Linked DNA regions of Macaca fascicularis. The protein of the gene in region 1 binds, or shares a complex with, the protein of each later gene. Links are inferred from orthologs where the notes say so. Each region holds a gene or a part of one and is shown in the gene's direction. Other genes may lie near its edges. The genes, in order: RAB1B and TBC1D20.

What was found.
Region 2: the proteins of RAB1B (region 1) and TBC1D20 are in contact, whole or in part, in a crystal structure (PDB 4HLQ), measured with the Homo sapiens proteins. The link is inferred for Macaca fascicularis from reciprocal best matches to the Homo sapiens genes RAB1B and TBC1D20. Residues at the interface, in NP_112243.1 of Homo sapiens: Ser17, Gly18, Ser36, Tyr37, Ile38, Ser39, Thr40, Ile41, Gly42, Val43, Asp44, Phe45, Gln60, Trp62, Ala65, Gly66, Gln67, Arg69, Phe70, Thr72, Ile73, Tyr77, Glu94; in NP_653229.1 of Homo sapiens: Gln97, Gln98, Leu101, Asp102, Arg104, Arg105, Leu107, Arg108, His141, Tyr142, Tyr143, Gln144, Gly145, His147, Asp148, Phe177, Met178, Asp179, Pro180, Thr181, Met182, Lys186, Val212, Ile215, Leu218, Ser219, Thr223, His227, Met272, Ala273.

Annotation. Positions count from the first base shown.
Region 1 is NC_088388.1:8,121,446-8,125,810, reverse strand, and holds the start of RAB1B (ras-related protein Rab-1B), read left to right. Parts: upstream 1-1,262; 5' UTR 1,263-1,320; coding exon of another isoform or gene 1,321-1,334; 5' UTR 1,335-2,027; coding exon 2,028-2,110; intron 2,111-4,365. UniProt on the Homo sapiens protein: The small GTPases Rab are key regulators of intracellular membrane trafficking, from the formation of transport vesicles to their fusion with membranes.
Region 2 is NC_088384.1:86,973,817-86,977,799, forward strand, and holds the end of TBC1D20 (TBC1 domain family member 20), read left to right. Parts: intron 1-324; coding exon 325-512; intron 513-779; coding exon 780-1,035; 3' UTR 1,036-3,434; downstream 3,435-3,983. UniProt on the Homo sapiens protein: GTPase-activating protein (GAP) specific for Rab1 and Rab2 small GTPase families for which it can accelerate the intrinsic GTP hydrolysis rate by more than five orders of magnitude. Also shows GAP activity for RAB18 GTPase.

The DNA of each region.
Region 1 (4,365 bases):
GTTATTGGCCGCGCCCCACCCTTCAGTCCACGGTACTACCCGGGCCTCCCCTCGTCCCTCCTCTAGTGGTACCGCCCAGGCCTTAATCACCCCCATTCCGTGCGGTGGTATCTCCCAGGCTCCACATTCTCGGGAGTGGCGCCTCCTAAGTGGCTCCCGGGACCTTCTCGCGCTCCTCCTGGCCTCTGAGGGATGCGTCCTACCCCGCCATCGCCCCGTGCCCCAGGACGGGGACCTCCCCTTAGTCAGTCCTCCCACCGCCGGGCCCTGCCCCGCATCCCGGCCTTATGCACTGCCCCTCCCGCCCGGCCCCGCCCAGGCACGGCCCGACCCCGCCCCGGGCACCGCCCACCGAGCCATCCTGCCACGCCTCTCCCCACGCCTGCAGCTTCTCGCGAGGGGCGGCGACGGTCCCTTGGTGGCAGGAGGGGCTCCCCCTGTTGCGGGTGAGGCGGCTGCTCTCTATTTTCAGATGTTGCTGTAGAAATAAAGACGGTTTGAATCTGAGCCGGGCTTGTTTTGAGGCGGAGGTCGGGGTCCCCCCGCGTCTCTAAACGGGTGGAGCCGGGAAGGGTCGCGCGTGAGTGGGGGACAGTGTGTCTCGCTCAACTGCTGTCCGCGCAGCTGGGCCCAGATATTCTGGCCCACCCCGGAACTGGGTGGGGGCCCCACAAGTCAGGCTTTCCCTAAAACGTTCACTTGTGGGGTTCTGGAGACCGCGGGCTCTTACGAGCTCTGCTCTTCACAAAGTTTTTGACTTTGAGTGAGTTTCCCGAGACTCAGTTTTTTCATCTATGAAATGCGGGTGATGACACGCGGCTGCGAGTTAGGAGTGCCCAGTACACGAGGAACCCTGGACAAGTGAACTTTTACTAGTCTTGCTAGATCCCACATTCTCATTTAATGTTCACAACGTGGGTATTGGGAGGGTAAGGATGACTCCGTCAGACAGATGTGAAACGTGCCAAGCCCAGCTCTAAACTGAGCTTTTTAAACACCGAGACGCCGTCAGGCTTTCCAGCATCGTGCTCAAGCCTAGGTGCGTCCGGCGTGCAAACTACAAGCCCCAGAAGGCAATGCGCCAGTAGTGATGGGAGTGGGCGCGGAGGCACGGGCTCCCCGACTACGCCTGCGCAGCGGGGCTGAGTTGGAGAACGTCTCAGACTACAAGTTCCGAGAACCAGCGCGGCGAGGCCTGAGAAGAGGACGTTTGCGCCTGCGCGTCGCGGGCGGGGCCTCTGGGGCGGAGCGGCCACCATCTTGGAACGGGAGGCGGAGCAGAGCCGACTGGGAGCGACCGAGCGGGCCGCCGCCGCCGCCATGAACCCCGAATAGTGAGTGAGCCCCGCCCGCGCCGTCCAGCGCAGCCTCGATCCCGAATACGGGGCTGTACGCTTACCGGGGTTGTCTGGCCCGGGTCAGGACTGTGCGGCGCCCCCACATCCGGGTCCCTCTTCCGCTGACCCCCCCCCCCTCACATCCGGGTTCTGCCCCTCCCCCCAGGGGCCCCAGGACCCCGGCTCAACACCCCGAGCTCTCACACCCGGGGCCCAGACGTGGCGACCCCGAGGGGCAGCTCTTGGAGCCCGAGACACCGGCCCTACCAGGCCTTATCGGTCAGATGACCCCGCAGTCCCGGTCACTTCAGGCCTCAGTTTCCCCACCTGCTGCTTGACAACTGTCCTGGAGTTTGGGAGCCCGTCTTTAGATAGTTTCTGGTCTCGGGTTCAGGCTCGGGCCCTTTAGGTCGGGCAGTGAATCCCTCTACCCTTCTCTTTCTCCTGAAGCCCGGCTCCTGGGGCCGGCCCAGAAACTGGCCAACTAAGCGGGAGGCCCCGAAGCGCCGCTTGAGTCCCATCTCCCGCAGGTCCTCTCTTCCGGGGCTGCCTCCTACCCTTTGCCTGGGTTACGCTGACCTGTCGCTCCCGACGGTCCGTCCTTTCCCGCCCTCTCCTCGCTTTTGCTCAGGCCCCCAACGCCACCGTCGCACCCCTTCCCTTGGCTGTCACACTGCTTGTGAAGTTTAGATGAATATGGAATTTGCTCTCCCCCTTCCAGCGGGATTCTCTGGTCCTCAAACTCTCCTCACTCTTGGTCACTCCCTCTGCGGGTAGGTGGCCCACATCTCATGCCCAGGACTAATAGTTTTCCCCAAGTATCAGTTATCTTCTTCCTCTTCTGCCACTTCCTTTTTCTCCTCCACATCCAGGTCTCAGATTTCCTTGGGGAAGGGTGAAGCTCTGAGCTGGATTGGGAGGGGAACAGAGAAGGGAACCAGCAGGCTCTCGCAGGGACTTTGGAGTCTGACAAACCTGGTTTGAGTCTTAAAGCGAAAAACTGTGTAAGTTAGGGCAAGTCACTTCCCTTCTCTGGCCTCTGGTTTCCTCATTAGTTGACAATGATAAAACTGACTTCATTGGACTGTTGCGAAGATTAAATGAGATGATGCATTTGAAGTACTTCACACAGGGAACTCAACTGTGTGACTTCACACAGTCACAAGTTGGAACTCAATATTATTAAATGTGATTACCTTTTACCTTTTTTTTTTTTTTTTTTTTGAGACAGGGTCTCTCTCTGTCACCCAGGCTGGAGTACAGTGGCACGATCATGGCTCACTGCAGTCTCCAACTCTTGGGCTCAAGCATTCCTCCTGCCTTGTCCTCCTGAGTAGCTGGGAATACAGAGGTACATCACCACATCTGGCACATTTTTAAATTTTTTGTAAAGACAGGGTCTCCATCTGTTTCCCAGCCTGGTCTGAAATTCTTGGGCTCAAATGATCCTTGTGCCTCGGGCTCCCAAAATGTTGGGATTACAGGTGTCAGCCACTGCACCCAGCCTTAAGTGCAATTTTCATTGCAACTTGACCACCTCTTCCTGGTGACTTCATAACAGGTTTTTTGTTGTTGTTTCCAAAGAGATGGGGTGGACTGGGCGCGGTGGCTTACGCCTGTAATCCCAGCACTTTGGGAGGCTGAGGCGGGTGGATAACGAGGTCAGAAGATCGAGACCATCCTGGCCAACATGATGAAACCCCATCTCTACTAAAAATACAAAAATTAGCCAAGTGTCATGGCACGTGCCTGTAATCCCAGCTACTCTGGAGGCTGAGGCGGGAGAATCACTTGAACCCGGGAGTTGGAGGTTGCAGTGAGCCGAGATCGTGCCACTGCACTCCAGCCTGGTGACAGAGTGAGACTCCATTTCAAAAAAAAGAGAGATGGCTGGGCGCGGTGGCTCAAGCCTGTAATCCCAGCACTTTGGGAGGCCGAGGCGGGCGGATCACGAGGTCAGGAGATCGAGACCATCCTGGCTAACACGGTGAAACCCCGTCTCTACTAAAAATACAAAAAACTAGCCGGGCGCGGTGGCGGGCGCCTGTAGTCCCAGCTACTCGGGAGGCTGAGGCAGGAGAATGGCGTAAACCCGGGAGGCGGAGCTTGCAGTGAGCTGAGATCCGGCCACTGCACTCCAGCCTGGGTGACAGAGCAAGACTCCGTCTCAAAAAAAAAAAAAAAAAAAAAAAAAGAGAGACAGGGTCGTGCTACATCACCCAGGCTGGTCATGTACTCCTGGGCTCCAGGGATCCTCCTCCTGCTTCACCCTCCCCAGTAGCTGGGACCACAGGCACACCCCACAGCACCTGGCCATCTGTCTCTTTACATGGGTTTTTCACTTAACAAGTTCTAGACTGTGCCCTGGGTTCTACTTCTGGGGCCTCCCCTGCCAAGCCAGGCATACCACAGGTCATGTACTGGGGATTCCCTAAATAGCCCCTACTGTACCAAACCATGAAGTCTCAGAAATCAGGGTAGGATACCCAGCTCTGTCGCCTTGGCAGGTCACGTCCCTCTCTGTGTCTTGATTTCTTTCTCCATAAAGTGAGAATTTAGACTCAGCAAGCTGAGAGCCCTTTGGGCTAGCTTTTTCTGGAGGGGGGCATCAGCCCTCCCTGACCGGGACTGGTGGGAAGATCTGGTGAGCACCATAGTATTCTAAACCAAAGGATGACCAGGCTCACCCCTGTAATCCCAGCACTTTTAGAGGCCAAGGCAGGTGAATCGATTGAACTCAGGAGTTTGAGACCAGCCTGGGCAACATAGTGAGACCCCGTCTCTACAAAACATAAAAAGAGTAGCCAGGGGCTGGATGTGGTGGCTCACACGTGTAATCCCAGCACTTTGGGAGGCCGAGGCAGGTGGATCACCTGAGGTCAGGAGTTTGAGACGAGCCTGGCCAACATGGTGAAACCCTGTCTCTACTAAAAATACAAAACTTAGCCAGGCATGGTGGCAGGTGCCTGTAATCCCAGCTACTCGGGAGGCCGAGACAGGAGAATTGCTTGAACCTGGCAGGCGGAGG
Region 2 (3,983 bases), on another chromosome or scaffold:
CTCCTTTCTTCTAAAAGAATCTCCTTCATTTCTTTCAAGATTTAAAGGGACACCTGAGCAGCCCAGTGTACCTGAAGGACTCAGATTGTAACTGGTCAGCCTTTCATGTCACGTGGTGGGAGTTCGCAGGAAGGGCCAGACAGTAGGAGTAGCGCTGAGAGTATACATGTTATTACTTCCTTGATGGATACAAGAGTTTGCTGAACATTTGGGCTGAGTCCTGTCTGTAACCAGTTTAAATTCATCTCCAAGGATAATGGAATGCAGGCAGCCCAGGCCCGTGTGTCTGGCCTCTGACCGCAAGGCTTTACTACCTCCCCACAGATTGTGTTGTATCGCGAGCAGGAAGTCCTGGACTGTGACTGTGACATGGCCTCGGTTCACCACCTGTTGTCCCAGATCCCTCAGGACTTGCCCTATGAGACACTGATCAGCAGAGCAGGGGACCTTTTTGTTCAGTTTCCCCCATCCGAACTTGCTCGGGAGGCCGCCGCCCAACAGCAAGCCGAGAGGTGAGCAAGGCTGGGATGCTGGTTGAGTGGGGGTGGCTGTAAATGAGCAGCTAAGTGAGGGAAGGTTTGTGTCTGGTGGGACAGGATTGGGGCATGTTTTCAGAGATTGAGCTTAGGCCAGTGGAATCCCCACTGTAGACATATGGGTCTTTATCAAGAAGAGCTTTCCCAGCAATGAAAGGCTCTGCCCGCCGCCTATGTGGTGTAGTTTTTCTTTTCTCCTCTTCTTTCATACCACTTCCTTCCTTCTGTCTCTTTCCCCTGCAGGACGGCAGCCTCTACCTTCAAAGACTTTGAGCTGGCATCAGCCCAGCAGAGGCCTGATATGGTGCTGCGGCAGCGGTTTCGGGGACTTCTGCGGCCTGAAGATCGAACAAAAGATGTCCTGACCAAACCAAGGACCAACCGCTTTGTGAAATTGGCAGTGATGGGGCTGACGGTGGCACTTGGAGCGGCCGCACTGGCTGTGGTGAAAAGTGCCCTGGAGTGGGCCCCTAAGTTTCAGCTGCAGCTGTTTCCCTGAAAGCCAGAGAAGACCTTCCTCTTACATCACATTAAGGTCTCACCCTTCCATGGAAGGATTGGGCGGGGTGGAATTTCCTTTATTAAAAGGGTTTCTGTCTAGAGTTTTCTATTCCTGCCACCCTGCCCTGCCTGTTGGTGTTTGCCTTTACTTCAGAGGCCAATAGGAGAGCCTACCTGACACAGAGGGCACTTGGGGGCCTGGCACAGAATCTTATGCCCCTCCCAGTGGGCTTCTGGATGGGCTCTCTGCCACCTCCTGTGGTGGTGGAGGAAGTGGGTTTCTGAAGCTTCCAGCTGCCTTTGCAACCTGCTGGGCCTGGGCTGCCCTAGTTACCGGGAACCTCCTAGTTACCCCGTAGAAAGTGAGCTGGAGCACGGGATGCCCTCTTCACTGCTCCTGGTCTGCCCGCATCCAATGAACACAGGAGGAGGGGCTGCTGCTGAAGGAGTCAGGCTTGAGATTGAGAACAAGAGGCCAGAGGACTCGTCTGGGAGCATGATCGGCCCCTCTTACTAGCAGCTCCGAAATCAGAGACAGAAGGGAACTAGGTTAACTTGTTAAATCCTACTTATTTTCCGCCTAGAGATTGCATGGGCATTTCCAGTCAAGTGGGAAGGAATGCTCATTTTTAGGGCCTAGACCTAGACTAGTTTTGCCTGCCTTTTTTTTTTTTTTCCTCCCTGTTTTCTTCTACAAGCCACAAAACATTGCTTATAAAAAGTACTTTTGTTACTATTTTTAGAATATATACACCCCATATGTAAATTACCCTCACTTTTAAAGTAATAATAGTTCCTTCACAGAAAAAAAAAATAGTTCTCATCAGAAGGATGAGCTTCTAAGATCCTGAATTTTATTTTCTACTTGATTAACATTTCACTTTAGACAGAGTTGCTATTTGCAAACAGCTTTCCACTTCCAAAGTGCCACTTTCTGACCAGTTTTTCTTCCTGTTTTCCTCAAATCATACTACTCCCACATAGGCGCCCATTCACTACCTTAGCGTCGTTTTTTGGGTCTGATTTGTCTCGTCAACTGGTCTCTCCCACCTGGTTGGAAATGTCATTGGAAACTTGCTGGCACCCAGAAAGGAACAAATGGAGCCTGAAGAGCTTGGCAGGAGCCTGGAACAGCCAAATTCCCTGCCCAAGCTTCTCCAAAGACTCTCCAGGCCTTAGGGAACAAGAGGCATCACTCAGTCCTTCCGGGACAGCTTCCCTCTAAGCAAAGCCAGGTTTGTTTTAGATTAACTCTGGCCTGAAAAAAAAAAAAGTGCCTTTTGCTGCTTTAAATAATTGGGGTATATGGTATGAAGCAGCCATGTACTTGTATTTTCCTGGTCTTTCCTGGGCACTGATCTCTCTTGGCAGGTGTTTTCTTAAAGTGAACACACCAGAAGCACTCCACCCCACCATATCCAGACCTCCATGCCCTCCTTGCATGCCTGTTGTGTGCAGGGTGGAGGGTGTCCCACATGCCAGGCAGCTGGCGAGCCAGAGCAGCTGGGAGCCCTGTCCACTGAGTTACACTAAGCACTTTATTTTTATTTATTTTATTATTATTTTCTTTTTTCTGAGATGGAGTCTCTGTTGCCCAGGCTGGAGTGCAGTGGTGCAATCTCGGCTTACTGCACCCTCCATCTCCCAGGTTCAAGCAGTTCTCCCTGCCTCAGCTTCCTGAGTAGCTGGGACTACAGGCATCTGCTACCATGCCTGGCTAATTTTTGTATTTTTAGTAGAGATGGGGTTTCACCACATTGGCCAGGCTGGTCTCAAACTCCTGACCTCAAGTGATATGCCCGTCTCGTTCTCCCAAAGTGCTGGGATTACAGGTGTGAGCCACCACGCCCAGCCACTACGCACTTTAAAACCAAAAAAAGCTCAAAGTGATGGATCATTGTCCATGGCAGGAGCCCCACCTTGGGGTAAGCCTAATGTAGATGGATTAATTTAGAAAGTGGTGTATTTATCAGGGCAAAGGAAATTCTTCCAGAGGTGATGATGCAGCATATATTCCCAGTGCTCTCCCACAGCAAGCTGGCCCTCTTGTCATCATTTCAGTGGGCGGCAGCAGCTGCCCCTCCTTCCACAAGCACTCAAACCTGTTTGTAAATACTGAAGGAATTGATGGGGTTGAGGAAAAGAGGTTCATGTGACCAGGGTCCCAAGGCCACAGCTTTTCAGATCCTAGGAAGCAAGTGGCATTTGCTTGAGTTGTGGCCTCCGAAGGATCATGTTTATCTGTTTTGTAACTTTGCTGACACCAGGATTCTCCCTGTCATTGAGAAGAAAGCATTATCTAATTACCTTCAGGTGGTTTACTTATTCTGTAAAGAATATGTGTAAATATTTTGTACAGAGCCCTGTATCAAATAAATAGCCATATGTGGTTACTAATCACCTCTTCTGTCATTCTGTCCTTGCCCACCACTCAGTGGGAATGGTCTCTGATCTGGATGCTCCCCACCTTCCATGTCAGGCCCAGAACTATGCCGTGGCCTGTGGATCGTGGTCGGCCTTGACTGGCTAGGAGACCTTGGGCAATATCTACAGTCCTGCTGTTTCTATTTCATCTGCAAGAAGTATGACCCACATGCTCCAGCTGCTGCCCAGGGCACCGTGATATTTTATGTGTGTGTGTGTGTGTAGATGTTTTTGTCCACAGTTCTGGTTCATCACTTCCATAGCCCTTTGTTGGGGCACTGCAGGCCTCAAAAATGGAATCTCTGTCTGTGACCTTATGCCCTCATTTCACTTGCTCAATGCCAGACTCTAATCTGACTGTAGCTCATAAGACCCTCATTCCAGAGAGGGTCCTGCCCCATACCCGGGAAGGAGGAACACTGCACAGAGAGATCAGGAAGCATCTAGACCGACAGGACTTGCTGGGTTTAGACCTTATGCTTTTTGTCCAGTTTCATCTCAACATGGTTGCCATGCTTCAGC